4 linked regions of the Notamacropus eugenii genome follow. The protein of the gene in region 3 purifies or fractionates together with the protein of the main gene of each other region. This does not show direct contact. Links are inferred from orthologs where the notes say so. Each region holds a gene or a part of one and is shown on either strand. Other genes may lie near its edges.

Region 1 (7,143 bases), on a different chromosome or scaffold from region 3:
GACAAGGCTATATCTGCACTGATCCTAGGACTGGGAAAGCAATTTTTCTTTGGTCAAAAAAATCTTTTGGAGAGTCAAAAAAGATTGATACAAATCAAGGGGAGAGCTGGGCTGAAGACATATCTGAATCACACATCTCTTCGGTCCAACTAAAAGGTGAAACAAACAGTGTGGAGAGCTGAACTCAGAGAATTGTAATTTCAGTGAATAAAGACATTTTCGGTCAGATGCATTTACTGAGCCCCATCTCATTTAGTTCTTGCAACAGCCATGTTTCAAACTTGGCCTCTCCTTCCTTCCTTCTTTGCAAAGGGAAGGATAACCCTGCTTGTCCTGTAGGACACACATTCACACTGCCACATGAGGTTTTAGTTAACTCGGTCCATTTTAAAGCTCCAGCCAAGCTTCAAAATGACAAGAATGGCATTCTAAAAATGGGTACAGAAATACTGATGTCCAAGGACTCTGCGCAAGACCCTTATTTTGGAGAGGACTGGGCTCCAAAGGCCACCAAGTCCCCTACCACCCCAGGAAGGCAGTAAGGATTGTGAATCCCAAAGGCAGATGGAGCCACTTTTCAATGCAAAGTCAGTGGAAGATAACTTGAATTCTTAACTGCATTTTCCCTCATGGATAGGAGTGCTCTAACCCTGTCCAAAGAAAGGACCACAGAGGGAAGGCTAACGGAGAGACCAACAGGGAGGCCTTGGTGAAGAATGAGAAGATCAGAGTTCAAATTGTGGCTTGACCGCTTCCTATCCTGTGAGACTTCCACCCAATCATTTAGCCTCTTGGGGCCTTAACTTCTTTATCTGTGAAGTGGCCCGGTATGCCCCCTCCAAATTTAAAGCTTATAATTCCTATGATCTCATTTCACTGCATCCATCAATGCCGTGAATTAGTCAAACAAGAATCTATCAAGCACCTACTAGAAGTCAGGACCAGTGTGCAGTGGAGACACCAAGATAAAAAGACAAGTCCCTCTGTTCTGTGCAATTCCATTCCATTGGAGGAGATGTGTGTATATGTGTATATGCATACAAGCATATACATATACAAACGTGTATCTATACATACATGCATACATATGTATGATTATATACAGAGTTAAGTAAAAACTCAATGGGACTGATACACAAGGTGGTGCTTGAACTGAGTGTTGAAAAAAGGGCTTCTCTGGGGCCCTGGGAAGGAGAGAGGGCATCCTAGGTATGGGGGATGGGCCAGGCTGGCCAGAACGGAATGGAAAACCACAGGAGGCTTGGAAGGTGGGCTAAGGCCAGCTGGTGAGGTTTCAGAAGACAAATTGAGTTTATATTTTATCCTGAAGGCAGCAGAGAGCCCCTGGAGCTAATGGAGTAGGGAATCCTGCACTTCAGGCTGGAGAATCAGAAATGCCAAGATCTGGCTGCTGACTGGATACAAAAGGTGAAGTTAAGGTGCTCTGTACCTGGAGAACGGCAACAATCAATGCCTTTGAAAGAAGAGACACTCGTGCTTAAGAAAGGTGGGTTCCGGGATCAAGAACAAGTTGTCTGCATGGGATGAGTCTGTGATCCCAGGATGAAATGTCCCAAAGGCAGGATGAGACGTGGCCCTGGGGCTGCCTGGACAGATCTGGGAACTGTGTGCACTGGGACGATAATGGGAGCAGATGAGATTACCAAGGCAGCACCAAGAGAGAAGAGGGCCCAGGACAGAGCCTGGGAGAAGATCCACGGTTAGGGGATGAGGAATGGACAGGCAGGGAGGAGCACCAGGAGAAATGTCTGGGAGGACAATAAGGTCAGGGTTATTGAATGCTGCCTGAGAAAAGACTGTCAGATATGACAATTCAGAGATAACTGATAGCACTGGGAACCATAATTTGATTTGAGTGTCGAGGTCAGAAGCCAAACTGCAAGGGGATAAGGGATGAGGGCGGAGGGAGTGGTGGAAACCACCTGCAACAGTTTTCTGCTAGGAGTTTGGCTGAGAAAGTGAGGAGGGATCTAAGCTGATCTAGTGAATGAAAACACTGAGCACTCCCAACTTATTCTAAGGGCAGAGTATAGAGCTGGGCCTGGAGTCAAGAAGATGGATCCTCTTGAGTTCAAATCTAGCCTCAGACACTTACTAGTTGGGTGACCCTGGGGAAGTCACTTAGCCCAGTTTGCCTCTGTTTCCTCATCTGTAAAATAAGCTGGAGAAGGAAGTGGAAAACCCCTCCAGTATCTCTGCCAAGAAAACCCAAATGAGGGCATGAGGAATCGGTCAGAACTGAACAACAACAAAGCTACTTTAAAGTAAACAGGTGACCTCCTACAGCGATGGAAAAAAACCCCAACAACCTTCAACAAGAACCCCATGAACCCAGAAGACAACAACAGCTAACAAACTAATGGATACTAAACACAACTAAAAACACAAGCTCTCATAACTGGTGAATGAGCCCATCTTTTTCTCTTCTGTCGATCTGGTGGGCTCACAGCACCAAAGACCCTAGGATGTCAAAGCTGCATTTGACCCATTCCTGAGGTGATGAAGTCACTTTCCCAGAGAATGCCAGAACTCAGGATTCCTGGCACTGGGCCTGACACCAAACATGCTCTGTAAAAATTCGTTGATTCATTGAAGATGGTGTGAAGGGAGCCCTGGATCATGAGCCAAAGCACCCAGATTCAAATTCCAGGGTCACACAATCCTTGGGTCAAGGGACCTTGGCTTCCTCATTTGTAAACTGGGGATAATAACACCTGGATAGTCAACCTGACCACGGTGAGGGAATGACGATACATTCTAATGCCTGCGTAGGACGACCAGCACCAAATGCTGGGTCACTCTAGCCTTCAGTTTCCCCCTTGTAAAAGAAGGGGCTGAGTTAAGGGATCTCTTGAGGTTCTTGGAAGCTCAGTTTCCTCATCAGTCAAGTAAGGGAGTGGAAGCAGACACCTGGAAGGTCCCTCAGACATACAAAGAGGGGGCTGGAGGAGATGGGCGTTCTCATCCTTGTTCTCCTGCTCCAGATTCCTGGGGTGGTCTGGGGATGCGGAGACCCCTTCTTTGAACATTTCTAAATGACTGAAGGAAATGCTGTGCTTCAGTTAAGAGGAGAGAGAAAATAAAGACCACATTTTCCCACATTCATGTTCATAGACTCTATGAAATTTATCTCCAGACACCTAGGGATCTTCAGGCTCCACCTTAGGACTCCCTGGCCAAAACAGTCCCTCAGGTCTCTTGGATTGTAAAGAGAGGAGATCCTCCCGGGGGACCTCCCAGCCCCTCCTGGCTCGGCCTCCCCCTCTGTAAAGAGAGGAGATGCTCCCGGGGGACCCCCCAGCCCCTCCTGGCTCGGTCTCCCCCTCTGTAAAGAGAGGAGATGCTCCCGGGGGACCCCCCAGCCCCTCCTGGCTCGGTCTCCCCCTCTGTAAAGAGAGGAGATGCTCCCGGGGGAGCTCTGCGGGGATGGTGGAGCCGATGAGCACCCCCGCCCCCCACTTCCCTCTGGCCACGCCGGTACCTCTTGCCCAGGGCAGGGGCACCCCTCCAGCCTCAGCTTCCCCCTCCTGCCCTGTCCACATCTGCGCTCGCTCTCAGGGTCTCGAAACCCTTAGCTGGCATCTAGTAGGCGCTTAATAGGTGCTCCCGACTTGCCCCGCTCTGCGCCCCCGAGGCCTCCGGCACCGTGCGAGGCTTGGGTTGACCCGGCTCTGGCTTGGGATCCTGCCACCACTCCCGCTCCGGGCCTCAGTTTCCCCCCTCGGGGGTCGGTCCCTCCCGTTCCCTCGGCCCTGCGGCTCTCGCCCTGGGCGGGCTAGGGCGCGGACGCCGGGGTCCCTAGGCTGACACCTGCCGCGGGCGCCGCCCGGCCCGGGCCCAGTCCCCCGCTCGTTTCCCGCCTCCCCGCAGCTGCCCCGGGGGGGCACAGCCTGACGGCCCGGAGGCGGCGCCCCCAGCCCGGCCCGCTCGGCGCCGCTCACTCACCGGGGCCGCTACAGTCGGCGCACACCTCGCTGCTCCGCAGCCGCTTCGACATGGCGCCCGCCTCCGGCGCCCCGACGGCGGCGGCGGCAGCGCTTCCGCTCCGACAGCTCCGCTCCCGGCAGCGCTGGCAGCCCCACGGCGGCGGCAGCGGCGGCGGCGGCGGCGGCACCTCCCCCTCGGCAGCGCGCAGGCGCAGCGCGCAGGCGCCCCAGCTCCACCGCCCCGCCCGAAGGCGGGGCACCGTCACGTGGCCGGAAGCGGCTTGCGGAAGCCTGGCGCCATCTTGGATAAGGGCAGGGCGGCCGCCACGCCTTTTCCTGGATCCTTCACATCGATTCCGGGAATGTCAGAGCTGCCAGCGCCCCAAGAAGCCCCAAAATAGAGAGGGGGGCAGCAGCCTTGGGGACACACAAGAAACCTTTCCCAGTCCTCAGAAATAACTAGTGTAGCGGAAAGAACTCGGGTTGGCCCCTGGTCCCTTTTGGTCCAGTCACTTCTCTTCTCTGGCTCAGTTTCCTTATTTGTAAAAGAAAGCCCTTAAGTTAAAGGCCCCTCGGGGCCCTTCCGGCTCCAGATCTAGGATCATGTGACTACTTCACAACCTCCGGTCACAGTTAATTCAATTCAATAAAGACTTATTAAGGACCTACTACGCGCGGGAGCGCTGGGGACATCTAAAGAGGCGGAAGAGCGGCCCCGCCCGCGAGGAGCTTCCAGTCCAAGGGCGGGGAATGACCGCGCGCCCCGGGTGGGGGCGGGGGGGGAGGGAGAGGGGATGACGTCCGGAGACGCACAGCGGAGCGTCTGCGCCGGAAGAGCCCTACTGAGTGCGGAAGCCCCTTGGCCCTGGGGCGGGGCGGGGCGGGGCGGGGCGGGGGCCCGGGGGGCGGGGCCTGCGCCAGGATGAACAGCCGCTCCCCCCTCCCCGACCCCGTCTGTCTGTCTGTCTGTCTGTCTGTCTGTCTGTCTGTCTGTCTGTCTGTCTGTCTGTCTGTCTCTCTCTGTCTCTGTCTCTCTCTCTGTGTCTCTCTCTCTGTTGGTCTATCTCTGTCTGTCTCTGTCTCTCTGTCTGTCTGTCTCTCTCTGTCTCTCTGTCTGTCTGTCTTTGTCTGTCTCTCTTTCTGTCTGTCTCTCTGTCTCTGTCTGTCTGTCTCTTTCTCTCTGCCTATCTATCTCTCTCTCTTTCTCTGTCTCTGTCTGTCTATCTCTCTCTGTCTCTCTGTCTGCCTATCTCTCTCTGTCTGTCTGTCTGTCTCTGTCTCTCTCTGTGTCTCTGTCTGTCTCTTTGTCTCTGTCTGTCTGTCTCTGTCTGTCTATCTCTCTCTGTCTCTCTGTATGTCTGTCTGTCTCTCTGTCTGTCTCTCTGTCTCTGTCTGTCTCTTTGTCTGTCTGTCTGTCTCTGTCTGTCTATCTCTCTCTTTCTCTCTGTCTGTCTCTGTCTTTGTCTGTCTCTGTCTGTCTATCTCTCTCTGTCTCTCTGTCTGTCTCTCTCTCTGTCTGTCTCTCTGTCTCTGTCTGTCTGTTTCTCTCTCTCTGCCTATCTCTCTCTCTTTCTCTCTGTCTGTCTCTGTCTTTGTCTGTCTGTCTCTGTCTCTCTCTGCTTTCAAGGGAGAGATGACATCTCTTTTGGAAACGTGGCATGGAAGCTTCTCTCTCCGGGCCATTCCTGGCGGTTCTCCCTGCCAGGGCCACACGGCCCCCTGGGCTGAGCAGAAGTCAGACCTTGAGGCTGTCCAGAGACAGCCCAAGAGGAGCCCTCGTGAGCCCCCGAAGTCAGGGGCTCCCAGTTGGCCCCTCCCTCGGTGCCAGCTGCCCTGTGGGCACTGACTACCGCAGGGAGGATGAAGCCCAGCCCTGGCCTGGCCTCTTGGGCGCCTGGGACCTTCGGTAGTTGTGGACACAAGGCAGAGCCCAGGGAAAATGCCCGCTCAGCGGTCTGACCTCATGCCACCGTTTAAAGGATCAGCTTCCTAGCAGGCTGGCATAGGGGCACAGGCTACTGTCTCATCTTTTATGTCTTTGTTAACATGTGTTTACGAAACTTGAGTGTTTTAAATACCCCTTTTGTAGTGGAGACATAAAGAGCTGTCCTAGAAACCTGAGGCGCTTTGTTCATCCAGAACCTTTCTGGAGGGGTCCCTGCTGCACCCTTTGGGGATCAGCCTTTAGTGAGGGCCAAGTCAAACCTCAGCTCTCCGGAGGATGCCCAGTGCAGCCTGTGACAGGACAGTGATCAGGACCAAGAACTTGACCCTTCTCCTTAGGACTGAAGCCTGGGGTTCTGGCCCCTTAGCTGGGGTATCTGAGCACCTAGGCCTGGGGGCCCAGCAGCAGTCTGCAGCTATGTGTGACTTCGGATGTAAGTGTGCAGGACCTAGTTACCCAGGGTTACCCGTAAGCAGGGGCCGAGCTTAGTCCTTCCCGATTCCATCCCTAGCTCTGCATCTGCTGTTAGCTCTAATGACGTTAATAAGTAACAAGGACATAGTGCTTACTACATACTATAACACGTTATATAGCACATACTGCTTACTGTATAGTAACGTACGGTGCTTATTACATATAATATGCATAATGTAGATTTATAGTGCTTGCTACATATTATACATTATAACATAGATTTATAGTGTTCACTACTACTACTAACATGTAGTATTTACTACATATAAGATATTGATAGGATTTACTATATAATAATAACATTTATACAGTTTTACTGTATATTTACATTATAATATATAGTGCTTACTATATGTCATATAAAAATATATTCTACATTTTTAGTGCTTACTACTATTAGCATTTTATTATATCTGTATAGTGCTTACTATGTAATCACAACTAACATTTATGGTGTTTAATACATATTATATATCATATGTATTTAATTTTAACACATACATATTATATTATGACATATCTAATTGTATTATAATTACATATATTATAACATAATATATATTTATAGTACTGTATATAATATTATAATGTTTACTACTAGTAACTAACATGTAGTACTCACTACATATTATATATTATAACATATAATAACATTTACAGTACTTACTGTATAATAACTAACATTTATATAGCATTTACTGTATATTAATATATATTTATAGGGATTACTCTATAACTAAGGTTTATATAGTGCTTATCATATTACAATATTACATA
Region 2 (6,979 bases), on a different chromosome or scaffold from region 3:
CTTCTGTAAGTGACTGCCTAGCCCAAGGGCCCAAACAGGGCACTTAGCAGGGCTGGAATGCATTTGGACTCCAAATCCCCTAATCCAACATCCTAGAGGAGTCTTCTTTGAGGGCAGCCATGTGGTGCATCTGTGAAGGGGATGGATAGGACCCAGGCCAGGATTCCAACTAGACTTTAACTCTGCCTGAACAACTCAGGAAGTTTGTCTTCCTCAGGGGTCTGCTACAGCCACTGATGAGGAGCCCTCGCACGTTCTACCAGTCTTGGTCACCTTTCTTCCACTCAGAGTAGGATGCTAATCACTACTGATGAGAGCTCGAGAGTTTACAAAGCTCTTTCCAGGCATCATTCCATACCAATGCCAGTTTCCAAGTCTTTGTACAGATGTCCCCCATGCCTGAAATGCACTCTCTCCTCACCTTTAAGCATCTTTAATTTCCTTAACTTCCTTCAAAGATCTGCTAAAATGTCATGCTACTTTCTCCACAGGAGTCCTTCCTATGGAGAAAAGGAAATCCCTTCAGTTGCTAATGTCCTTTCTGAAGTCACTTTGTAAATATTTATATGATTTCCTTATAGAACATAGGATCCTTGAAGGCAGGGCCTGTTTCAGGACTTGGGTTTTTGGGTTTTTGTCTTTATGTTTCTAGCACCTGGATCACACAGTAGGTGATTAATTAATGCTTGGTAATTATCTCACTTGAGTCTAACAGCTCAGCAAGGTGGGGACTACCAAGCATTAACAGCACATCTTAATAGAGAAGGAAATTGAGGTTCTGAGAGACCGACACGACTAAGGTTAGAATTAGTGCCTACAACAGAACTTAAAGTGTTTTTCAGACTCTAAACCTAGGCTTCTATTAACTATGCCAGATGAGCAAGGTAGAGGAGGGGCCCTGAGGGCATAGTCCTATGCCAACCTGGGGATATCTCATCCAACAAAGAGGCTAACCTTCTGACACTAATGGGGTCAACTGAGGGTCACAAAACTGGGCATCCACAGAGATACCACCACCAACTTCCTCTATCCCCTCACTGGGTACTCACAGGGCACTAGAAAGCTTGTTCTGATGTCCCTCATCCCTATCTCAAAATGATCATTGGAGCTGACACTAACACTGGAGACTCCCTGTGAAGGGGGAGTAAGCCCCCAGATAAGCCTCCCCAGATCCTTTCTGCCAGCCTAGAGAGGGCACACTGGGGCACCAGCTGCCCACATGCCTTCTGGGGTTCTCTGGAAACTCTGCAAATTGATCTGTAACCCAGAACCTAAGTGGGAATTTGGGGAGGTGGGCAGTACAAACCTATCTCCCTCCCAAATGAATGAAGCCAGAGTTAAGGTGGAGGAATCACAGTGACTCTGTAGTCATCCAATTTTCTTCATTTTACAGATGAAGGAACTGAGGCCCAGAAAGGTTACCTATGACCATTAGGACTCCACTACCCCTTGCCCCAACAGGCTGCTCAGATCTGAAGAGCCCCTTCTGCCTCCGGAGTCCACCCCTTCCACCAGAAGGAAACTGCTCCTCTGGTCTGTCCCCTCATTTCCTCCCTGGGGCCAAAGTAGGTAGAGATGTGCAACTCCCACATGGAAAAGAACTCCACTCTTCTGGGGAGAAGGGGAAATGCCAGTCAACATGGAATCAGAGGCAGGGGGTGGAGGCAGCTGACTCTCAGACCCTAGGCTAGGTCTCCCTGGCATAGAGCAAAGCTGGAAGGGAACTTAGAAGCCATCAAAGACCAATCCCTTCTTTTTACAGAGAAGGAAACCGAGTTCCAGGGAAAGTACAGGACTAGTAGACCCACAGAATAAGTGGCTGAGGTAGGATTTGAGTCCAGTGTCCTTTACTGGCTTGCCCTGGATTTATCCACAGACCCTAGGCACCCAGGTCTAGGGTCTGTCCTGTGCTCCCTGCCTGGTACCAATGGTGCTGGGATTTCCCACTTCCCTGTCAAGTAGTGGCTGAGGAGAAGGAAAACTATCTCAAGACCCAGGCCTGCTCATCCTCCCCCACCCAGCAGGCTTTGTTTATGGGGTTGAGGAATGGTGTCTCAGGATTCCATTTGGCCTGACAGAGTAGGTGTGAGAGCCCCTAGCACCTTCAGAGGCCTAGGAATCAGTCACCACCTTCTGAAGAATTAAATGGGACCTAGGGCCTGACCCTGGCCCCTCTAACTCCAGGAAGAACAGCCCTACCAGGCCCTGGGCAGGCCAGGATGCCTAAAGACAAGCATCCCTGGGTAACCCTTGCCTTCCGAGTACCTTTGTGAGAAGACCTGTGGCCGGTGGACCGGGAGCTGGGCAAGGTGAGGGCAGGAGATACCTGCTCACCCCCTTTCCCCACAGATGTCCTCTGCAGCTACACAGCAATCGCAACGTGTGAGCAGCAGGTGTAAGACAGAAGGAGGCAGCCGAGACTCCATGACACAAACTAAGAACACACACTTCCACCCCCTAAGGAAAAATCCTTCTCGCTTCCCCCACAGTCCTTCTGCCGCCTAGGAGCCGGGGAGGGGGGGTGGATGCCGTTGGGGGGGAGGCCAGACTGCCCAAGGAGGAGAAGGCACCGGACACGTCCTTCCTGAAGCACGGACCCCGCTGGCCCCTGGGCTGGGGGTGCTGAGGGGGCAGGATGACCAGCACTGACGTGGGCACCAGCAGCAGCCCAGGAGCAGCGCGCTGCGCCCCTCCCCTCCCAGCTCGGGCCCCCGGGCACCCCGGTGCCCCTCCCAAGGACACCTGGCTCTGCAGTGGCTGCCGAGGCCGCAGCCCCCAGCCTCCGCTCACCCTCCCGCAGCATCCCGCCCCCGGCCTCGGGGCGCTGGCGTCTCGACCTCCTTCCCCCCCACCCCGGGGCCCCCGTGCCCGCCCCCGGCCCGGGCCTTACCCGGGGCGCTGCAGTCCGCACACACCTCGGCCCGCGGCCCCTTCCGGGACATCCTCAGCGGCGAGGCGGCCGCAGCCCTCTGGGCCAGCGTGGGGGGCGCGCGGGGGCGTCGGCCGCAGGCAGGGGGTCCCCGATGGCGCCCGCGGCCACGGCCACGGCTGCTGCGGAGGCCGCTCCCCGCCGCGCGTCCGCCCCCTCGGGGCCCCGGCCGTCGGCGCTCAGATCGGCCCCCGGCGCGTCCTCCCCGGCTCCGGCTCGGCCCGCCCGGCTCGGCCCGGCCCGGCCCCTGGCTCTCCGGCTCTCCGCAGGCTGCCCAGCTCGCGCTCAGCTGCTCCCGCAGGAAGCGACGCAGGCCCGGCCCACCGGGGGAGGGGCCCGCGCGCCTCCCGACCCCCAGCCCGGGCCCGGACCCGCCCCGCTCCCAGCTGGAGAAAGGAAATGGCAAGGAACACAGGAAGAGGCTCGAGGTGCTAGGGAGTGGGGGGGCTTTAAAGGGCCAGGAGGGCCGGGCTCTTCCCGCCCCCCCCAATCCCAGCCCCGGAGACCGCCCCCTCCCCAGCCTCTCCCCATCCTGAACCGAGTCGGGGAGGACTTGGCCTGGGTGACTGGCCGCCAGCTTGCCCCGCATCCTGGCCCCTTGCCTCAGTTTCCCCTACCTGCCCCCAAAGCGAGAACAGGGCGGAGCTGGTGGTGAGTCACCCCTACAGTTCCTCTTCCTGCCTTCCCCTATCCTAGCAGCGGGAGGAGGAAGGAGAGGGGGAGCATTGAGGGCAGGTGGTGAAAATGGGGCAAAAACGGGAGGTGGGGGATTAAGGCTGAACTGCCTCGCTGAGGTTTATTGTGTGTGTGTGTGTGTGCGTGTAAATAGGCCAGTTTAGGGGTGACCTAGCAAGCCGCCCCATACCAAGGAGAGGCGGACAAAGAATGTTGGGGAAAGGTCGCCATCCTCTGTGTGGGGGTGACAAGGCTGTGGGTGTTTGGGGAAGGAGGGATGGGCCAGCTTTTGTACAGTCTGGGTTCCTAAGAGCTGTCTGGGTGCGGAACGCATCGATTAGTGTCCACACTCTGGTGTCTGAGTTGGGGAAAACGTTCTATGTATGTATGGGTAGGGGCACACGATTCTGCAGAGAGCACCCACACTTGTGTGAAAGGGGGGGGGCGTTCTAACGATACCATCTTGATGGATAGAGAGCTGGCATCCATGGGCTCAAGCTGCCCTTCTGTCACCTGTGTGACCCCAGCCCCTGACAACGCCCTAAGGCTACAAATTGGGCTTCTTTTTCTTCCGGGTTCCTTGGAATTCCATAGGTCTATTTGTCTTAGCTTGCTGCAGGAAGTCTAGATCCCCAGATTTCCCTGGGAATGGGGGGAGAGCAGGTAGCCACCCGCGTGAGGAATATAGACCAAGTTTCTGGAAGAAAGAAATTCACTTGCCCAGCTTTGTATCCCCAGTCCACCCAGCTGGCACCCAAGAGGCACTCAATGGGTGGCGGGGGGAAGAGTAAGTCATTTTTATCCGTATTGTGCCTTATTGTTATGTACTTTAGCTAATTGACCTTGAGCAAATCCCTGGTCAGTTTCCCCATCGGTCAAATAAAGGGGGTTAGACTCCATGACCTCTAAGGTCCCTCCCAGCTTATGTTGGCATTGAACTGAATTAAACTGTTAACTTCTAGGGTGCCAGAGAGGTCACTCACTGCCTCCAGGCAAGACCACACCTAGACTACAGCTCCCCGTGGCTAAGAATCAAGCCCACTTCTAAAGATGTCTGGAGGAAGAGACAGACAGCTGCCTTCTCATGTGGGGACTTTCCTGTATTTTGTCATGTACTCATATATGTCCATTCCTGGAGGGGAGGAACAGAATGTACATGAAGTCCTGGCCTGTTTCATTTCAAGGCCACGTGTTCATGTCCAGGCTGTGTAAATGTATATATACACCCAGAATATTTCCTTGGAGTGGTTTTTCTTCGCAGGTTATGAAATTTTACATGAAGGAAGAAGCCTTGAGAAACTGCGAACCTGTGGCCCCAGCCTGCTCGTGTGCATTCCCTTGTGCTTGCCAGTTTGCATAAAATGCCCTGCCCTCTGCTGCTGCCCTTCCCCCCTTCTGCTTTTGACTCTGTCTCTGGGGAGGTGGGCATGACTCGGGAAAGCTGTTGGGAGGGGAAGGTGTTAGAAGCCGTTCCAGTGGTGAAAAGGTTGCAGGTGTAACGTCTAGAGTCTAGACAAAGAGGGGATTCTACTTGGCAACAGGAGATTCACTCACGTGGGGAGAGGTGCCAGAGATGTTCAGCCTATCTGTGGCAGGGGCTCGTGGGTGGGCAGACTAGCTCCCTCCCTGAGACAGCAGCCGCCCATGAGTCATGGCGCCCCAAATACAGCGAGACCTGCCTCTTTCGACTTCTCATTTCTACCCGGATTGACAAGTTTGTTTGAAAGTGTGTGTGTCCACTGGCTATATTTATAATCACACTTTAAAAAAAAAAGGAGACTGCCAGCTTGTAGCATTGCCTGTCTGCCTTGCCGCCTCCCCCAATGCAGTCCCTGAGTTGTTAGGAGAGAGCCAGGCAGTTTATCACCTGAGTTAGCCTGTGCCTGGCTGGCTCCCTCGGCTCCTGGAGAGCCCCACCTGCCAACGGCTGCATGGGAGGTGCTACTCCCCCCTTTTCCCCCAGGATGGGCCTTCTCTTCACCCTGGCATTCAAGGCTGAGGATGCTGAGACAGGCTCTCTCTCCCTACCCCACCCCCTTCCAGCCTCGTGGTGAGTGAATGCATGTGGAATGAAGGCTGGGGGTGGGAACTGGAGCTGAAGATTCAGCTCTTCTCTCAGCTATGGAATTTCATTTATTAAATGTCTACTCGGCTCTCAGCTGCACGGTCTGTTTGTCTTTGTTTCTTGGGCTGTGTGTGGGTGAGTTTGAGAGCACGTGGCAGCCTGGGACTGGCAGGCATGAAGGAGAACAAACAGGTGCCTGGCATGCCTCCCCCTACTCAATCTAAGTCTCTCAGTTGGACTGTGTCTCCTGGGGAGGGATGGGAGGGACATCCCAGGAACCAAGATGAATTGACTCCTTAGAGCACCTAAGCAAACTGGGATGATGGGGGGGGGGGGGGGCGGCCGCGCAGAATCACAGAATCATAGATCTAGAACTGAAGGCATCTCAGATACCATTTAGTCCAACTCCATTTTAGAGATGAGGAAACTGGCCTGGGGAGAGTGACTTCCTCCGTACTTACACAGTGTCAGAAGCAGGATTTGAACCCAGGTCTTCCTGACTCCAAGTCCAACACTACCCAACCCCCCCAGCCCTACTACCAGTCCCTCCCCCAAACTGTACCTTGTCCTGATACTTGGGGAAGAGGGCTCATGTAATTCAATAACCATTTATTGAATGTCTACTAGTCGAAGACAAAAACTAGTCCTGCCCTCAGGGGATTACAATCTCTTGAGGGAAAACACATAGACTACCTTCACTTACTAAGCACCTACTGTTTCTCAGCTTTGTGCCCGGTGATCTTATAAAGACAAAAGTGGTCCCTGTCCTTAACTTACCATTCTACCAGGAAGGAAATAGTGTGTACACTGATACAAAATATACAGAGTAAATACAAAGTAATTTGAGGAGAGAGGGACTTTAGAAGGCATGGAGGAGCAGATGACATCTGCAAATCCCCACACCTCTTTAGCGGTGGACTTGAAGGAGGCTGCAGTCCGTCTGTGTCTCGGCCATAGGAAGTGCTCAGCCACACCTTCATTCCCAGGAGTATCCGCTGTACAGGGGCACCCTCTCCTTTTCCTCTCTTGCCTCTCCAATCCCACTGCTTAGGCTCCCGGTCCAGGTACAACCCTCTGCTGACTCCTTGTGGTGGAGGTAGGGAGCAGCATGCCTAGGCACCAAAGGAGGCCCGCAGACTCTTCCGCAGGGGAATGGGGATGGTGACGCTGACTGCTCCCTCTCTCCCCCTGGCGGTGTGGCATCCTGGGATGTGCATGGTTTGCCATGGAGGCGGGGTATGGAATACAAGGAAGAGATGATGGAAAGGAGGATGAGAATATCATTTTCTAGCAAGTCTCAAACCATTATT
Region 3 (7,576 bases):
ACTATCACAAGACCCATTATTCACACTTGATTATTTTGAAGATAAAGATTCAAAATGCTTGACGGACATCAAGATTCATATGTTCACTGACCCTAAAACTACCTCTTATGATTCCTTTTTTTTCTTTTTCACCTCTAGACTATGAAAGATGAATGCTACAAGGACAGCAGTACTGGTTTGGAGCTAAGTCACCTGAATATATTCCATCTTTTTTATTAGCTTAGAAGTGATCAAATGCCCATCAATGAAAGATCAATGGATTTGAGGGACGCGGCTAAAGAACAGGAAAAGCATGAACTTCTGACACCAAAAGGACCAAAATACTAATGAGATTTCCAGACACCTCAAAATTTTGTGACCTAATATAAATTCAGGAGGAATCAAAAGAAGCATTTTACTAAAATCATTAGATAAATGTTTTACCTAAGCATTTTACTTTAAATTGTGGTTGATGAGTAAATAATAACAGCTAAAGATCTGTGGGAAAATATATCAAATTGTACCTAGGTTCTGATATCTTAAAGTCATGAACTAAAAACTGTGTTTCCTACCAGAATACTTTGTTTAAAAAAAAAAAGCATTTAATGGAAAAGCATGCTACTCTATCAGCCATGTCAATGAGGTATCCTGTCTGCTCAAGCGATAAAACACCTGACGGCAGCTTTCAGTAACTGCAGGCAAAGTACCTAAAAGGAAATATTCTCTGCAAACATTAGAAACATTATAATGCTCCAGAAAAAAAATAATTTCCCAAATAACAGCAATATCACTGAGTAATAAGTTGTCTAGTCACAGGATCCTAGGTCTCAACTAGACAGGAATACCTAGAAAAAAGATAGCATACCACAGCAGAAAAAGCTTCACCAGTCTTGTCGGTCAGAAAGCCTGTGATAGAATACTGATTCTGCTACTTATTAGCTTAATAACCTTAAGCAAGTCACTGGACACCTCTATGGGCCTCTAGTTCCTCATCTGTACAATATAGTCACTGGCCTAAATGACCTTTAAGGTCACTCCCAGCTAGCTATAATTCTGGGTGTGTAATTTCCTGAATGAGAACCAGGGATTGCACATACAACTGTCATAAAAAACAAAGTTTTAAAGAACTCTAAGAGTTCCAACATCTCATACCCTGAGATTATCAGAACTACAATTATCAAACATTTAACCCCATTCTTGGCATGAGGGGTTGTGTTAAGTCTCTAAAAGAAAAAGAAGAGGTTAAGATCTTGGCTATTCATTGTTGCTCACCAACCAATCATGTCACGCACATAGCCTTTGGAACACTTCAATACTAATGCTTTTTTTATTATGTTTGGAAAAGGGACACCATACCATTTGTAGGTTTTCAGCAGTAACAGTGAGAAGACCACACAAAAACACCTGAATTTGGATCACCTCCATGGGTTCAATGTCTAGGTCCACATCAAAAACATAAAAAATCATCTTTGTTGAGGGGCTAGAAACTTATCATCAGTCCTGAGTTTTCCTAAAGCAACTGTCACCTTAAACACTGCCTTAACAAAATGTTCTCTCTGATAGATGCTTTTTCTTCTGATGATTAAAAAAATTTGTCACTTGCTAACCAATAGTGCCAAGTGCACAATTTAAAAAGCCAAAGATAAAAGTGTCACCTTAAACCTATATTCTTAAACGAGATTTTACTCGGTCTTCCTTTTTTCTAAAAAGTTAAGTCTTTGACAAAAGCTACAGAACCTCTGGCAAGGCTGGACAAGTTTTTACTTGCCTCCAAAATTACTGTGCACTTAGTTCATCTAACAAAAGAGATCTTCATCTAGCTTCATTTTAAATTATTCTTATTTTTCTGGACAACCTACAAAAACAAACTCTCAAGAGTAAATTCTTGTAGATTTCAATATCCTGCCTACTTATAAGAGCGGAAGAGTCAAACACAGCAGGGGAAAAAATGTGACGCGTATAGCCTTGATCCAAAACCCAGCTTGTGGGTCTAATTTTAGGCCTAACCATTCTGATTGTGTCCTTTTGCAAAGGAGGCAAAACATGTCTAGATTATTAGATAGAAATCGATGAATCACCATATAGCGGGAAATAAATCTCCTGTTGCATAAAGAGGATATTCTCTCTCACCCCCAATAAAAGGACGACCACAAACTATACTCTAACCAGGAAACTAGAAGTACTTTCCAGACATCAATACTCGGGTCATTCAGTACTTAAAAGACTTGTGCAAAATGATGAATCCACTTAAGAAGTTTTTATTCTAGGAGTGCCCCCCCCCCCAAAAAAAAGAAATTTAAGTAGCTGAAAGCAGCAAGTTCATGCTCAGTAACTTCAAGTTAATTTAAGGTTACCTACAGAAGTCCACAACTCGCCTCCTGGCACAGTGGGATTAAAATGGGAATGATCAGAAATGAGACCTAAGGAGTTGTTGCTACAGAGGTGGGGATGGATTTGTGGACCAGGAGTTTCAGCTGCTGCGGTTTGTGGGAAGGGAGATAGCAGATTGGGGTTAAGGGCTGGGCAGAGATTCAACGGACCCATGTCCAGAGCCCAAAGAGGGAGGACAGGAGGGATCGCTGGGAACTGTCGGGAAGGAGAGAAACTGGCCGGACTCCAAAGGGGCCACGAGGAAAAGAAAAAGACGTGTGAGTGGAAGGGAGAGATAAGTGGAGAGCAGAGGGGCAGAGGCTCGGGGCAGGTCAGGGGCAGGACGACCCCCACTCCCGTCCAACTTCTCGGCCCTCCCGCCCAACTTCTCGGCCCTCCCTTCCCCCAGAAGCAGAGAAGGGGAAGAAGTCTGCCCCGGGGGAGCAAACAATAAGCAGCCACCGCCCCGGGACGCAGGTGGCGGCGGCGGCCGAGCCGGGGTGCCTGGCGCGGGGGAGGGGGCGCCAAGCCTCACTTACCGCGGCCACGGAGAGAAGCGTCCCCGCCCCTGCGAGGCGCCTGGGTCAGCGTCTCCTCCTGCGACCGCCGGGACGCAAGCCCCGCGCGCCCCGCCTGGCTGGCTGGCTGGCTCCGGAGCCGCCCCGGGAGGGCGCGGCAAGGGAGAGCAGGGTAGGGGGGGGACCGGGAGCCGGCCTCGCAACTCGAGGCCCCCTGCCCCGGGACACTACTGCGGTCGCCCTCGCTACTAGGCCGTGCTGCCGCCCCGAGCGCCCCAGTGCAGGCAGGGCAGGGGAGGCAGCCTTGGGCAATGGCGACCGCCGGGGCCTGAGGGGAAGCGGAACAACCGCCGCCGCCGCTGCTGCTGCGCGTGGCCACAACCCTAGAGGAGGGAGGGGGGACGAGGAGAGCTCAGGGGAGGAGGCGTCAACAACTGCAGCGCCCCGCAGGCTGTGCCGAGCGGGAGCCGTCGCCTCTCCTGGGTCAAACCGCGCCCCTCAAACCCGATTGGCCGCCGTCCGCGAAGGGAACAAGAGGCTACTGGGAGTTGTAGTTCCCGGGTGGTTGGTGATTCAGAGCCCAGAGAGGCTGTGCAGTCTTTCATGTAGTGCAATCCCCTGTCTCCTAAAGGGCCTATGCCAATTCTGCTCTATTTGGGGAATTCACCAGATAGTTAGGATATACATAAATCCTATGCACACGTCAATGCTAATTTTTTTTTATTATGCATGAAAAAGGCTTACCATTTCTAGTCTGAGAGTCCTCTGAAGTGATATGCCACCTTCTAAATCCATTTAGGTGTTTACCTACCAAATCTTGATGTCCAAAACACAATGCTTTCTGATAGTAAGCACTAAATAAATTTTTTATTCATTCATTCAAAAAAGTCATTCTACTTAAATGAACTGATGCAAAGTAAAGTGAGCAAAAATAGAACATTGTATACAATAACAGCAACGTTGTAACAATGATCAAAGATGAAAGACTTAAACATTGTAACATAGACAAGGATCCAAGACAGTTCCAAAGGACCCATGATGAAAAATGCTATCCACCCTCCAGAGAAAACTGACAAACTCTGCTGGCATTTTGAAGTATACTTTTTTTTTACTTTACTTTTCTTCCTTTTTGATGTGTTTTCTTTTGCAACATGTCTAATAGGAAAATGTTTTGTATTTTGCATTTGTGGGAAAGAGGGAGAAAATTTGAAACTCAATTTTTTTTTTAAATTAATGTTGATTTTGTTTTTACATGTAACTGGGAAAGTGTGCATGTGTGTGTGTGTATTTTAAGTCATTCCTGAACCCAGGCCTCAGTTTCCCCATGATGTATATAATCAATATTTTATTGCATTGCAGTACAATGGAAGGTTTTTTGGTTGCTTAGTGGTATCCAACTCTTTGTAACCCCATTTGAGGTTTTCTTGGCAAAAATACTAGAATGGTTTGCCCAGGTATATACAGCCAGTGTCATAATGCTTCCTGACTTCAGACCCGGTACTCTATACATTTTACCACCTAGTTGCCCCACAAAAAGGAAGCAGGAGACCTCCAAAAACAAACCACCTACTTCAAAATTTGGATCCACCTTCCCTCATCCGAAGTCAAGTATAATGATCACTTAACTGTCCTCACCCTATTCCTTATTCTGCCTGAAGCAGCAAAATGAAATGAGCGGAAGAATGTCAGGATGCAGTGAACTAGGCCTGTGGTATACTTGAATGCTTTTCAGAGACAGATCCAGGATGTACAGACAAAAGATTTGTGGCATTCAGTTTTGTAGAAGTAACATGATAAGGTAGAAAGAACAAACTGGGAGAATCAATGGTAAACTGGAATTATGTCTTGGTCTTGCCTTTAATACTATCTACGTGATATTGTGCAAGTCACTGTCTCCACCTCGATTTCCTTATCTGTCCAATAAAGAAAGGGGAAATAGATTTATCTATCAAGCCCACCCAACTGGTAACATTCTGTAACTATATAACTTGAAAATATGACCTCAGAGAAATCACTTCCCATCTTATTATACTTTCCACATCTGTAAAATGAGGTATAATAGCTGGACTAGGTAATCTTTAAAATTCCTTGCAGTTCCATGAGTTGATTCTTCCTGTAAAATCATTTTAGGAGACACTGTACTTCAAGAAGCAAGCACTCTAGAAAGCCACAAAATTGCATAGCAACTTTGAGGTTTGGTAAATTTTTAACAGTTAAACCTAGCCCTTTAATGCTAAATCTCTTTAAAAAATCAAAGGTACCCATAAGAAAAAAATAACAGATCAAAAAATGTAATTGGCCCATAGAAATTTTGCCTTTTCAATTATCAAATCAAAGAATGAAGCCCCAACTCATCTCTGCACTGGAGTGAAAAAAAATACTGATTAAGCACTTACTATGTGCCAGGCATTGGGCTTAGGACTGTGTGTATTACAAGCAAGCAAGTCCTACCCTTAAGAAACTGACAATGCAATTGAGGGGGGGGGGAAAGGGAGAGAGGGAGGGAGAGAGAGGGAGGAAGGGGGCGGGAGAGAGAGAGAGATGGAAGTATATATCTATCTACTTATCATCTATCTATCTTTGAGCTAGAAACTGGGATGGGAGGATGTTCCAGAAGTGGTCTGGAAATGATGTGGTAGCCTGATTCTGGGCAAGATAAGGTCCTGGGTCCAACTATAAAGCCTCTGAGAAAGATAAACCCTCTTTGAAGGTATTTATCTTTGGAAAACAGTAGAAAGCCATATTTTAGGATGGCTTCTACAATACCCCAGCTGCTTCTTTTTTGTGATAAATGCTGCTACATAACCTATATTACTATACTATGTTCTTCATACAATAAAATATTTACTGATATTAACAGGATTTTTTACTGAGTCAGTATCTAAACTGAGAATGACGAAACAGCAAGCCAGAGACAAAGTGCCAACAATCAAGCAGCAGTTTAATTAATTAGTTTCATTGTGAGAAACAGATTTGCAAATTGGGAATTCTCCTGATCTTACATGTTTATGTATATACCACACACATATATCACATTGTATTTACTCTACCAAAAAGCATAGTTATAATATATCCTGACTGAAAAATCTAGGAAGACTTATATGAATTGATATAAAGTGAAGTGAGTAGAACCAGGGGAACACTATACACAGAAACAGCAATATTGTAATGGTGATCAACTGTTAAAGATTTGGGTATTCTGATCAAGACAATGATTCCAAATCCCAAGACAATCCCAAACAATTCATGATGAAAAATGGTATCCACCCCCAGAGAGAGAACTGATGAACTCTGAATGCCAACTGAAGCATACTTTTTTTACTTTATTTTTTTGGGGGAGGTTTTGTGTCTTCTTTAGCAACACAGCCAATATGGAAATATGTTTTGTGTGATTTACATGTATCATAGATACAATATTGCTTACCTTCTCAAGGGGTGGGTGAGGGGCAGGAGGAAGGGAGAGAATTTGGAACTCAAAATTTTTAAAAATGAATGTTAAAACAATTTTTTCAAGTAATTGGGAAATATTTAACACAATAGATAAAAATATATTTTTAAAAAATAATATGCTCTGATTTATTGGTTAGCAGCACATTTACTTCAGGGTTATTTTGAGGTTCGCCTACTGTTATTCTTACTTCCTATTTTTTTTAACCAAATAAAGCAGGGACTAGGCCTCCATTTTTAAAAATCAATGTATAATAATCTTATTATGAGACATACAAGGTTTCATAGAAGATCTTCTTTAATGAGCAGACTGAGCTGTGTTCCCTCACACTTCTCTTATACTAAAGCTTATTAAGTAACTTCATTATTTTTCCTTCCCCACCATTAACAGATGTATATAAATCCAGAAGCAATATAATAAAAGAGAAATAGGATGCCACTGAGTATGGTAAGTTTTGCTATTAGCAATAACAGTCTCTGGTGTTAATTTTGCTTCTCCCTAAACCATTGGATGTTTTCTAATGTTTTTCAAAAAAATTAATTGTCAATCAAATGTCTGATTAGAAATACTGTGCCCTCATCTGTAATGCTTTCTCTGATTTCTATTAACATCTGTTAGTTAATAATATCAAAAAATATAAGAAATTCATTTCTCTGAAAATAGAACTCATTTTTCTCTTCTAATTCAATTAACACATATTACACTAAGAGCAAAGAGCTACCTCAGGCTGTGAGGCAAATACAAAGATAAATAAGACATGATTCTTTACACTCAAAGGGCTTACAATCTTGTAACTGACCCTATTCTTTGAAAAATAATTTATCCATTTAACAGAATTAAATTGTTTATATTGGCACTTGATACTTGAGAAATTACCAAGCACAAATGCAGCATAAATTTCTGTATTAAGTAAAAATTAGGTGAAATTATTTACAAAACACCATTCTACATTTTTTATTTAACTGTTCTCAACAAAACTAAAATACATTACTGTCAATTAAAAGGAATGCCATAATTCTAGAATACTACCAACTATTACATTACATTCTCACAGGGAGAAATGACCATGTTTGAAGATGGCTCTGAGTATAAGACCAGAACATAAGATTGTAACAAGCAGAGTTATGACACATACGAAAAGACAATGTACTCGCAGCCCCACTGGAACCTGTAGTATCACATTCTGATTTACCTACGGAGAGAGGGTAGACAAGTTCAATTTAAGATTAGAGGAACACTCTAAATGCACATTCAAAAGAGA
Region 4 (7,021 bases), on a different chromosome or scaffold from region 3:
CAACAAATGAAATAAAAGTACAGTAAAACAAAGATAATATTACATTTTAAAACTAGGTCAGTGTGAAGGCCACAGGAATCCTTATGTGCAGATTAATGATCCTCAGTTTCTGTCTGAGTTGGACATCATGGTCTAAACCATTAATGTTCCTCGAGACTGAGAAAAGCAGCCATAGAGCACATCAGTTCCATCTGAGTTTACTCTTAAAACTTTCATGCTGGACTGTGAAAGACAATCATCTTGCTTCTGCTGTTGTCTTTTCCAGGAATTTTTGAGAAAGACAGCCTCCCACCAAAGTGACCATCAATTTCTCCTGTGGGGTGAATAAAAAAGGGCCTAATCTTCAACCTTGCAATGGCTATTGGGAAAAGCAAACAAGTGAGATTTCCTCTACTCCAATACCAAATCCCCTCTTTATTGGCATGACAAAGCCCAAAACAAAACCAAAAGCACTAATGATGCTGATACTGAGGTTGCCAGGGCCAACTGACTTACCTCTACCTGAAGACCTGCACATCCTTTGAGGAAGTCCTTAATGTTACTGATGCAGTCAGCTTCCGTTTGGGGCTCCTGATGGTACTAAAGAAATGATCAAGAGAACCTCTGTGAGTTGGGTTTCCCAAGCAGGCCCAGCATGCTTCATGTTTTATGAGAACTAGGTAGGTTTTTGGTTTTGGTTTGCTTTTGGGGTTTTTTTTTTTTTGAAGGCAAAGGGGAAGGCTGCTTTCAAACCAGGAAGAGAAGTAACCATTGAAGGAAATGATGTAAAAATCTAAACGGCCTTTTGTTTCAAATATCAGTTTCAGAACAGAGCCCCAGGCTAAAGGCCCACTGAAGGGTCTCCCAACTCTGAGTCCAAAATTATTTGGACTATATACATTTCTTCATTCTCTGTCCCCATCCCAAGATATTAGGATGTGTCTGGATTTTTTAAACTGTGTTACTGTTTTCAAATATATGAAAAGCACATTTTCCACCTTGCTGCTTTCTACCATTTCATAGGAACCTTCATAGTATCAGAGATTTAGGGTTCATGGGACCTCAGGGGCATCTAGTTCAGCCCCTCTCATTTGACAGAGGAGGAAATGAGGGGAGGGGAAAGACTGGTCCAAGATCACAGGTAGGATCCTAGCTCTACCGCTGGAAGGGACCTTAAAGTCCTTCAGTAGTAGAACTCCTTCATTTGATAGAGGAGGAAATTGAGGCCCATTAAGGTAAAAGTTCTTGCCCAAGGCAAAAACACAGTGGATCACAGATCTAAAAAGGAAAGGACCTCAGAAGTCATCCAAGCCAACCCCCTCCTTTTACAGTGGGTAAACTGAGGCCCAGGGAAATTAAATGACTTTCCCAGTGTCTCACAGCTAATAAGCAACCAAGCTGAGATTTGAAACCAGGACCTCTGGTCCCAAATAGAAATCTTTCCATTGCACCCCACTTGGACATTTGACCCAACAAGTACCAGGTCCAAATGCATCCTGCACGGTATTTTAATATATCATTTTTCTAGCCTAGAAAGTTGTTACAATCTGGCTGTAGAAACTCAAGTCCAAGTCATACTTGGCTCCCACCTCTATTCCCCAGTTCTCAGTTTATTTGGGCACACTCCCTAAATACTGGAGTTCTCCTTTAGAAAACTGCCTTTACCTTTGGAGTAAAGATCTAGCCTCAGGGGAAGCATCAAAAATTTAACTGTGCTAATCTAAAAAGGAGGATGGGGTGGGGGGGAATGCCTACATTTTAATCTTCCTGGAATTATGTGTTCCATTTCAAATACCCATTTAGTTTCAGTTGTTATCGGAAGTCACGCATCCTAGCTTGGTTCTCCTTGTTGCTAAAAGTAAACTTTTAAAGAAATACATTCATTTCAGCTATGCCATCAGCCCTAGATTTAAACATCTTACAATTTCATAGATTCTGATTAAATTGTGTCCTTAGTTCATGGGGAGGTCAGTTGACATCTCACTCACTCTAACAAGAAATACTTTTCTGGTGGATGTTGCCCTTGTCTCAATGCTAGAATGGCCGTACTGAGGTAGTTACCAGGGGTCCATGAACCATATCCCATCCCTCTCAGACATGAATGATGAGGAATCATTGCTAGCTAGTGGAAAGACACAAAGTATTTGACTCACAGGTTATGTGGGCTAGGCAGTCTGAAGCCAAGAAATATTGGTTAAACATCTACTTTGATGTGCCAAGCACTGTGCTATGTGCTACGGAGAGGCAGACAAAAATAAGAAACAGTCCTTACCCACAAGAAGCTTGTATTCCACTGGGGGGATCAACACATAAACAGATAGGCAAATACACCACCTAATGAGGAAGAAGACCAACTAAAGGGATAAAGAAAGGCTTCCTAGAGGAGAAGGCAGGTGAGCTGAGCCTTGAAGGAAGAGCTAGAGATTCTAAGAGGCTGAAGTGAGCAGGGAGGGCACTTCAGGTCTGGGGGAAAGCCGGGGCCCAGACCTAGAAGCAGGAGGCAGTGGGCCCTGGGTGAGGAAGCAGCCAAGTAGGCCAAGGAAGCAGACCATGGCCATTTCAGTTACCTTTTCCACAGCTCCAGGAAGAAGCCGATTTAGCAGTTTGCATAGCACTACCCCATTTTTCAGAGACACCTTCAAGAATTCCTCCGGATCACAGATGGTCTTCTTGGGGGAATTTAAAACTCCCAGAGAGATGAGCCATGTCACGATGCGTTCCTCGGGATTCATTGCCGAGGACTGTGCACCCGAAGCAGCTGCAAGGTCTTACCCACATCCGCGATTGCATCGGGTGCTGTCTTCCTTTTTTCCGGGCTCTCTCTTCGGGCACTTGCTGTGCAAACAGTGGAGATAACTCTTCTCTGGCCACAGTGGGACCTCCACTCCAAAGGTGGGATCTTCTAACCACAGAGACCACACTCAGTTATGCAAAGCTAGAAAGAGCAAGGGGAAGAACCAGGGACAAGCATGATTGTATTTTTCAATACACATCACCCCACCCCCCAACTGAAAAACAAGCTCCTACTGACAGACACTTGAAGGAGCCAGGGCTGTAAGGGAAGGAAGTGAAGAGGATGCTGGGGAGGGAGGGGACAGAAGGAAGTAGGGACACTTGGAAAAAAGAGGTGAGCCAGCCTTGCAGGGAACCTTGCAAATGAGAAAGTGAGTGGGCCAGCCTGGGGACAAGCTGTCAATAGTCTAGCCTCAGTGAACAAAATCTGGCTTCTGTCAGGAAGTGGGTGCCAACTGGCTTGGATGTCCAACAGATCAGATCCAGGCTTTCTCGGGGAATCAGTGGAAATGGCAGTGGGGCTCCAAGAAGGGAGAAGCAGGAAATGTATCCCAGGAATGGCTGTCCAGCCACAAGTTCTCACCCAAAGATGCTGGGTGCCACGACTTCTTGGGATACTCTTTAAGAGGTCTGGGGAGGAGGACCCAGAAGTCTAAAGGCTGGCACAGAAGCGGGGAGGATGGCATTTTCTTTCATGACAAAGAGCGAAATAGAAGGAGAACATCTGCCACCCTGTTTACTTACCTCCTTTCGTATTTCTTTCCGGACCTGATGCCCACTGCACAATCCAGCTGCAAAACCCATGCCAAAGGCTTGGACACAGTAACATGGGCCAGAACATGTTGCTTTAAAAATAAGTGTGTCTGGGGGTGGCGGGGAAAGAAGGGATCGGGGGATTGAAGAAAATAATGACAAAAACAGGAAGAATTGGAAAACAAAATAGCATTTGCCAGGAGTGCACACCACACACTGGGAAATTGGGGATCTTCCAACTCTACCTCACGGGCTGGTTGGGAGAAAAGAACTTTGCAAACCTAAAAACACTAGTCAAATGAAAGCTGTTGCTCTTATTTAGATTAGAGGAGTCAGAGCTGAACGGGGCCTTCAGAAGCTCTCGGTTCAAATCTTGCCTCAGACGTTTACCAGCTATGTGGCCTCGGGGAAGTCACTTGACGCTTCTGTGCATCACTGTCCTCTCTTCTGAAGAAGATCTGATGGGAGTGGGGAGGGCTTGGACTCAGTGATCTCTAAAGTTCCTTCTAGCTCAAAGCCCATGATCCTCGGTGGTATTTAATAAATGTCTATTGGACTGCATTGGATTGGATGAGATTGGCAACGTGGTAGACTCTCTCCAAACTGTCACTCCCTCATAGGTGGGAAACGAATACCATAGCATTGTTCTTTGCAAAAGCTAGAAGTGACTGCTCAGTAATTGTTGTTGTCATCAGAAGAAGATGGGAAACTAAATATTCTCTCTGCTCATGCCATCAGCAGCACTCAGGTTGGGTCCATGATACCTAGACGACCAGAGCCTCCTACATAGTCTCTAATCCATGGCCCACTCAGCTGCCACAGGGACCTTCCTAAAACTCGGATCTGACTATTTCTGACCATGACCCACACCGGTGGCTCCCTATTACTTCCAGGAGCAAATACAAGTTCTTTATTTGGCAGTTAAACCCTTCACACTCTGGCCCCTTCCTACCTGTGAGTCTTTTTGTACTCTGCTCCCTGGCACACACTGGATCCAGCTACACTGGATTAGTGTTAGACCTTCTGTTTCCTCTAACAGAACCCTCCATCTCAAGCCTCCCTCCCTTTGCACTGGCTGGCCCCCATGTCTGGAATGGCCTAGAATGCTCTCATTTGGCCTCCCCCCTCTTAATTTCCCTGGCTTCCTTCAAGACTCTGCTTACAGCCCCCCTTCTCTCTGTGTGATTGGCCTTTCCCAGTCCTCAATGACCCAAGAGCTTTCCACTCCAAATTACCTTCCTTCAACTCTGTCTTTATCTTATATGGAGTTAGCTAGTTAATGTCCTCTCCCCTAGTGGAATGGAAGCTCCTTGAGGACAGAGATTGGTTTGTCCTTCGTTTATAACCCAGAGCTTGGTCCAATTCCTGGCGTACATAATAGGCCTTGCTGTAATATGCTCGTTGTCTACCACCCTTAGGAAGAGATCCCCAGAAAATTAGCACAACAAACCTACACTGAGGAGACCCCCTATGGCACAATCCAACCCCTTCATTTTTGAGGGGAGGAGACTGAGGCCCAGTGAAGTGAAGGGACTTACCCAAGGTCACACAGATTGGAAATAAGACTGCTAAGATTCAAACCGCAAGCTGTTGACTCCAAAGTCAATACATCTCCCTTTATACTATATCATAGCAGTATTTTCCTTTAAAATTACTGCTCTGAAGAATAAATTTTAATTATCTATATGGTTTTGAAATCCTTCATAAGATCAATGCTTTGTATATAGGTTTTTAAAGAATACTTGATTTTATGTATTTAACAGCAATGTATGTGTAGAACCTATATAAGATTGTACACCATCTCAGGGAGGGAATGGGGAGGGAAGGGAGAAGGAGGGGGAGAGAGGGGAAAAAAGTCTAAGATATATGGAAGTGACTGTAGAATACTGAAAACAAATAAAATTATTTAATAATAATTTTAAAAAGAATACTTGATTTTAACATTCATTTTTTTAAATGTTGAATTCCACCTTATCTTCTTCCTTCCAGCTCCTGTCCCACATATTAAAAGCAAGCAATGATATCAGTTACACATGTGATGTCATGTAAAATCTATATGCATAACTTTGTCCTTGACAAATGATCATCCCCTGTAAAATAACTATTTGCCTCTCTGGGCCAATCTCGCGCTTACAAAGAGTTTTTGCATATGGTATCTCGGCAGATCTTTACAACACTATCAGGACTAGTATTATTTTAAAATTCTAGAAACTCTGCAACCAACCCTAAAATCATTCAGATGGTTCAACTAAAGCTCAGGCAAGCACAGCTCAGTCCCACAACAAAAAACTGGCAGAACGAAGAGGAGGAAGCAGGTATCCTCGCTCACCACTTTGAAATATTCTTGGCAGACATATCATGTCACATTATTCATCAATTTTAAGGAAGCAGTGAACCAAGGCCCATGTAACTGAGAGAATCAACACTAGCATTGACACAAGTCACAATAGTGCTTTACACTATTTATACAACAGTGGTTTATAGAACATCCTCAATTTAAAAAAAAGAAAAGCCCTGGGAGGTTGATGTTTCTTGTTCCTCAGTCATGTCCAATTCTTTATGACCCCTTTTGAGATTTTCTTGGCAGAGATGTTAGAGGGCATTGCCATTTCCTTCTGCAGCTCATTTTGCAGATGAGGAAATTGAGGCAAACAGCATGAAGTAACTTGCCCAGGGTCACCCAGCTAGAAAGTGTCTGAGGCTGGATTTGAACTCAGGAAGAAGAGACTTCTGACTCCAGGCCTGGCACTCTATCCACTGTAGTGCCACCTAGTTGACCCATTACTATTATCATTTATAGTTTGTAGATGGGAGAATATAGTCTCATAAAGGTTGAGTGACTTATCTATGGTCACCATCTGGTAAATGACTGAGTCAGAATGCAGACTCAAATGTTCTGACTCCAAACTCATGGCTTTTCTCGTGTAGCATACTGGTACTTGAAAGTAAACTGGGAGAGTTTTAAAAATTATTTTATTTGTTTTCAGTGTTCTATAATCACTTCCATGTATCTTAGATTTTTTTCCCCTCCCTCCTCCTCCTTCCCCCCTCCCTCCCTCTCCAAGACAGCATGTCATGTTATATAGGTTCTACACATACATTCCTATTAAATACATTTCACCTTAGTCATGTTGAATAGAAGAATTAAAATGAATGGGAGAAACCATGAAAACAAAACATAATACAAAAGAAAATGCTTCATTCTGTGAGCCATTTCCATAGTTCTTTCTCTGGATGTGGAAGACATTTTGCCTCAAAAGTCCATTGGGAATTTTTTAGGTCCTTGCATTGCTGTGAAGTACTAAGTCTACCAGACAAATTCCTCACACACTGTGGTTGTTGCTGTGTACAAAGTTCTCCTGGTTCTACTCCTTTCACATCAGCATCAGAACAGTCTTCCTGTTCATCATTTCTTAGAGCACAATAGTATTCCATTACATTCATATACCACAACTTGTTCAGTCATTCCCCAATGGATGATTTCCAGTTTTTAGCC

Evidence for each region.
Region 1: the proteins of PAK2 (region 3) and GIT2 purify together in Homo sapiens (affinity purification with mass spectrometry; 3 studies listed by BioGRID and IntAct, with this or other methods). This does not show direct contact. The link is inferred for Notamacropus eugenii from reciprocal best matches to the Homo sapiens genes PAK2 and GIT2.
Region 2: the proteins of PAK2 (region 3) and GIT1 purify together in Homo sapiens (affinity purification with mass spectrometry; 5 studies listed by BioGRID and IntAct, with this or other methods). This does not show direct contact. The link is inferred for Notamacropus eugenii from reciprocal best matches to the Homo sapiens genes PAK2 and GIT1.
Region 4: the proteins of PAK2 (region 3) and ARHGEF6 purify together in Homo sapiens (affinity purification with mass spectrometry; 3 studies listed by BioGRID and IntAct, counting the BioPlex papers as one, with this or other methods). This does not show direct contact. The link is inferred for Notamacropus eugenii from reciprocal best matches to the Homo sapiens genes PAK2 and ARHGEF6.

The regions. Positions count from the first base shown.
Region 1 is NC_092875.1:22,007,466-22,014,608, reverse strand, and holds the start of GIT2 (ARF GTPase-activating protein GIT2), read right to left. Parts: upstream 3,014-7,143; 5' UTR 2,987-3,013; coding exon 2,932-2,986; intron 1-2,931. UniProt on the Homo sapiens protein: GTPase-activating protein for ADP ribosylation factor family members, including ARF1.
Region 2 is NC_092873.1:37,130,901-37,137,879, forward strand, and holds the start of GIT1 (ARF GTPase-activating protein GIT1), read right to left. Parts: upstream 3,019-6,979; 5' UTR 2,943-3,018; coding exon 2,891-2,942; intron 1-2,890. Other genes in the region: uncharacterized protein, read left to right, coding at 3,024-3,580, 4,567-4,612. UniProt on the Homo sapiens protein: GTPase-activating protein for ADP ribosylation factor family members, including ARF1.
Region 3 is NC_092876.1:335,605,587-335,613,162, forward strand, and holds the start of PAK2 (serine/threonine-protein kinase PAK 2), read right to left. Parts: upstream 3,001-7,576; 5' UTR 2,889-3,000; intron 1-2,888. Other genes in the region: PIGX (phosphatidylinositol-glycan biosynthesis class X protein), read right to left, coding at 7,364-7,507. UniProt on the Homo sapiens protein: Serine/threonine protein kinase that plays a role in a variety of different signaling pathways including cytoskeleton regulation, cell motility, cell cycle progression, apoptosis or proliferation.
Region 4 is NC_092879.1:58,084,604-58,091,624, forward strand, and holds the start of ARHGEF6 (rho guanine nucleotide exchange factor 6), read right to left. Parts: upstream 3,015-7,021; 5' UTR 2,712-3,014; coding exon 2,547-2,711; intron 580-2,546; coding exon 496-579; intron 1-495. UniProt on the Homo sapiens protein: Acts as a RAC1 guanine nucleotide exchange factor (GEF).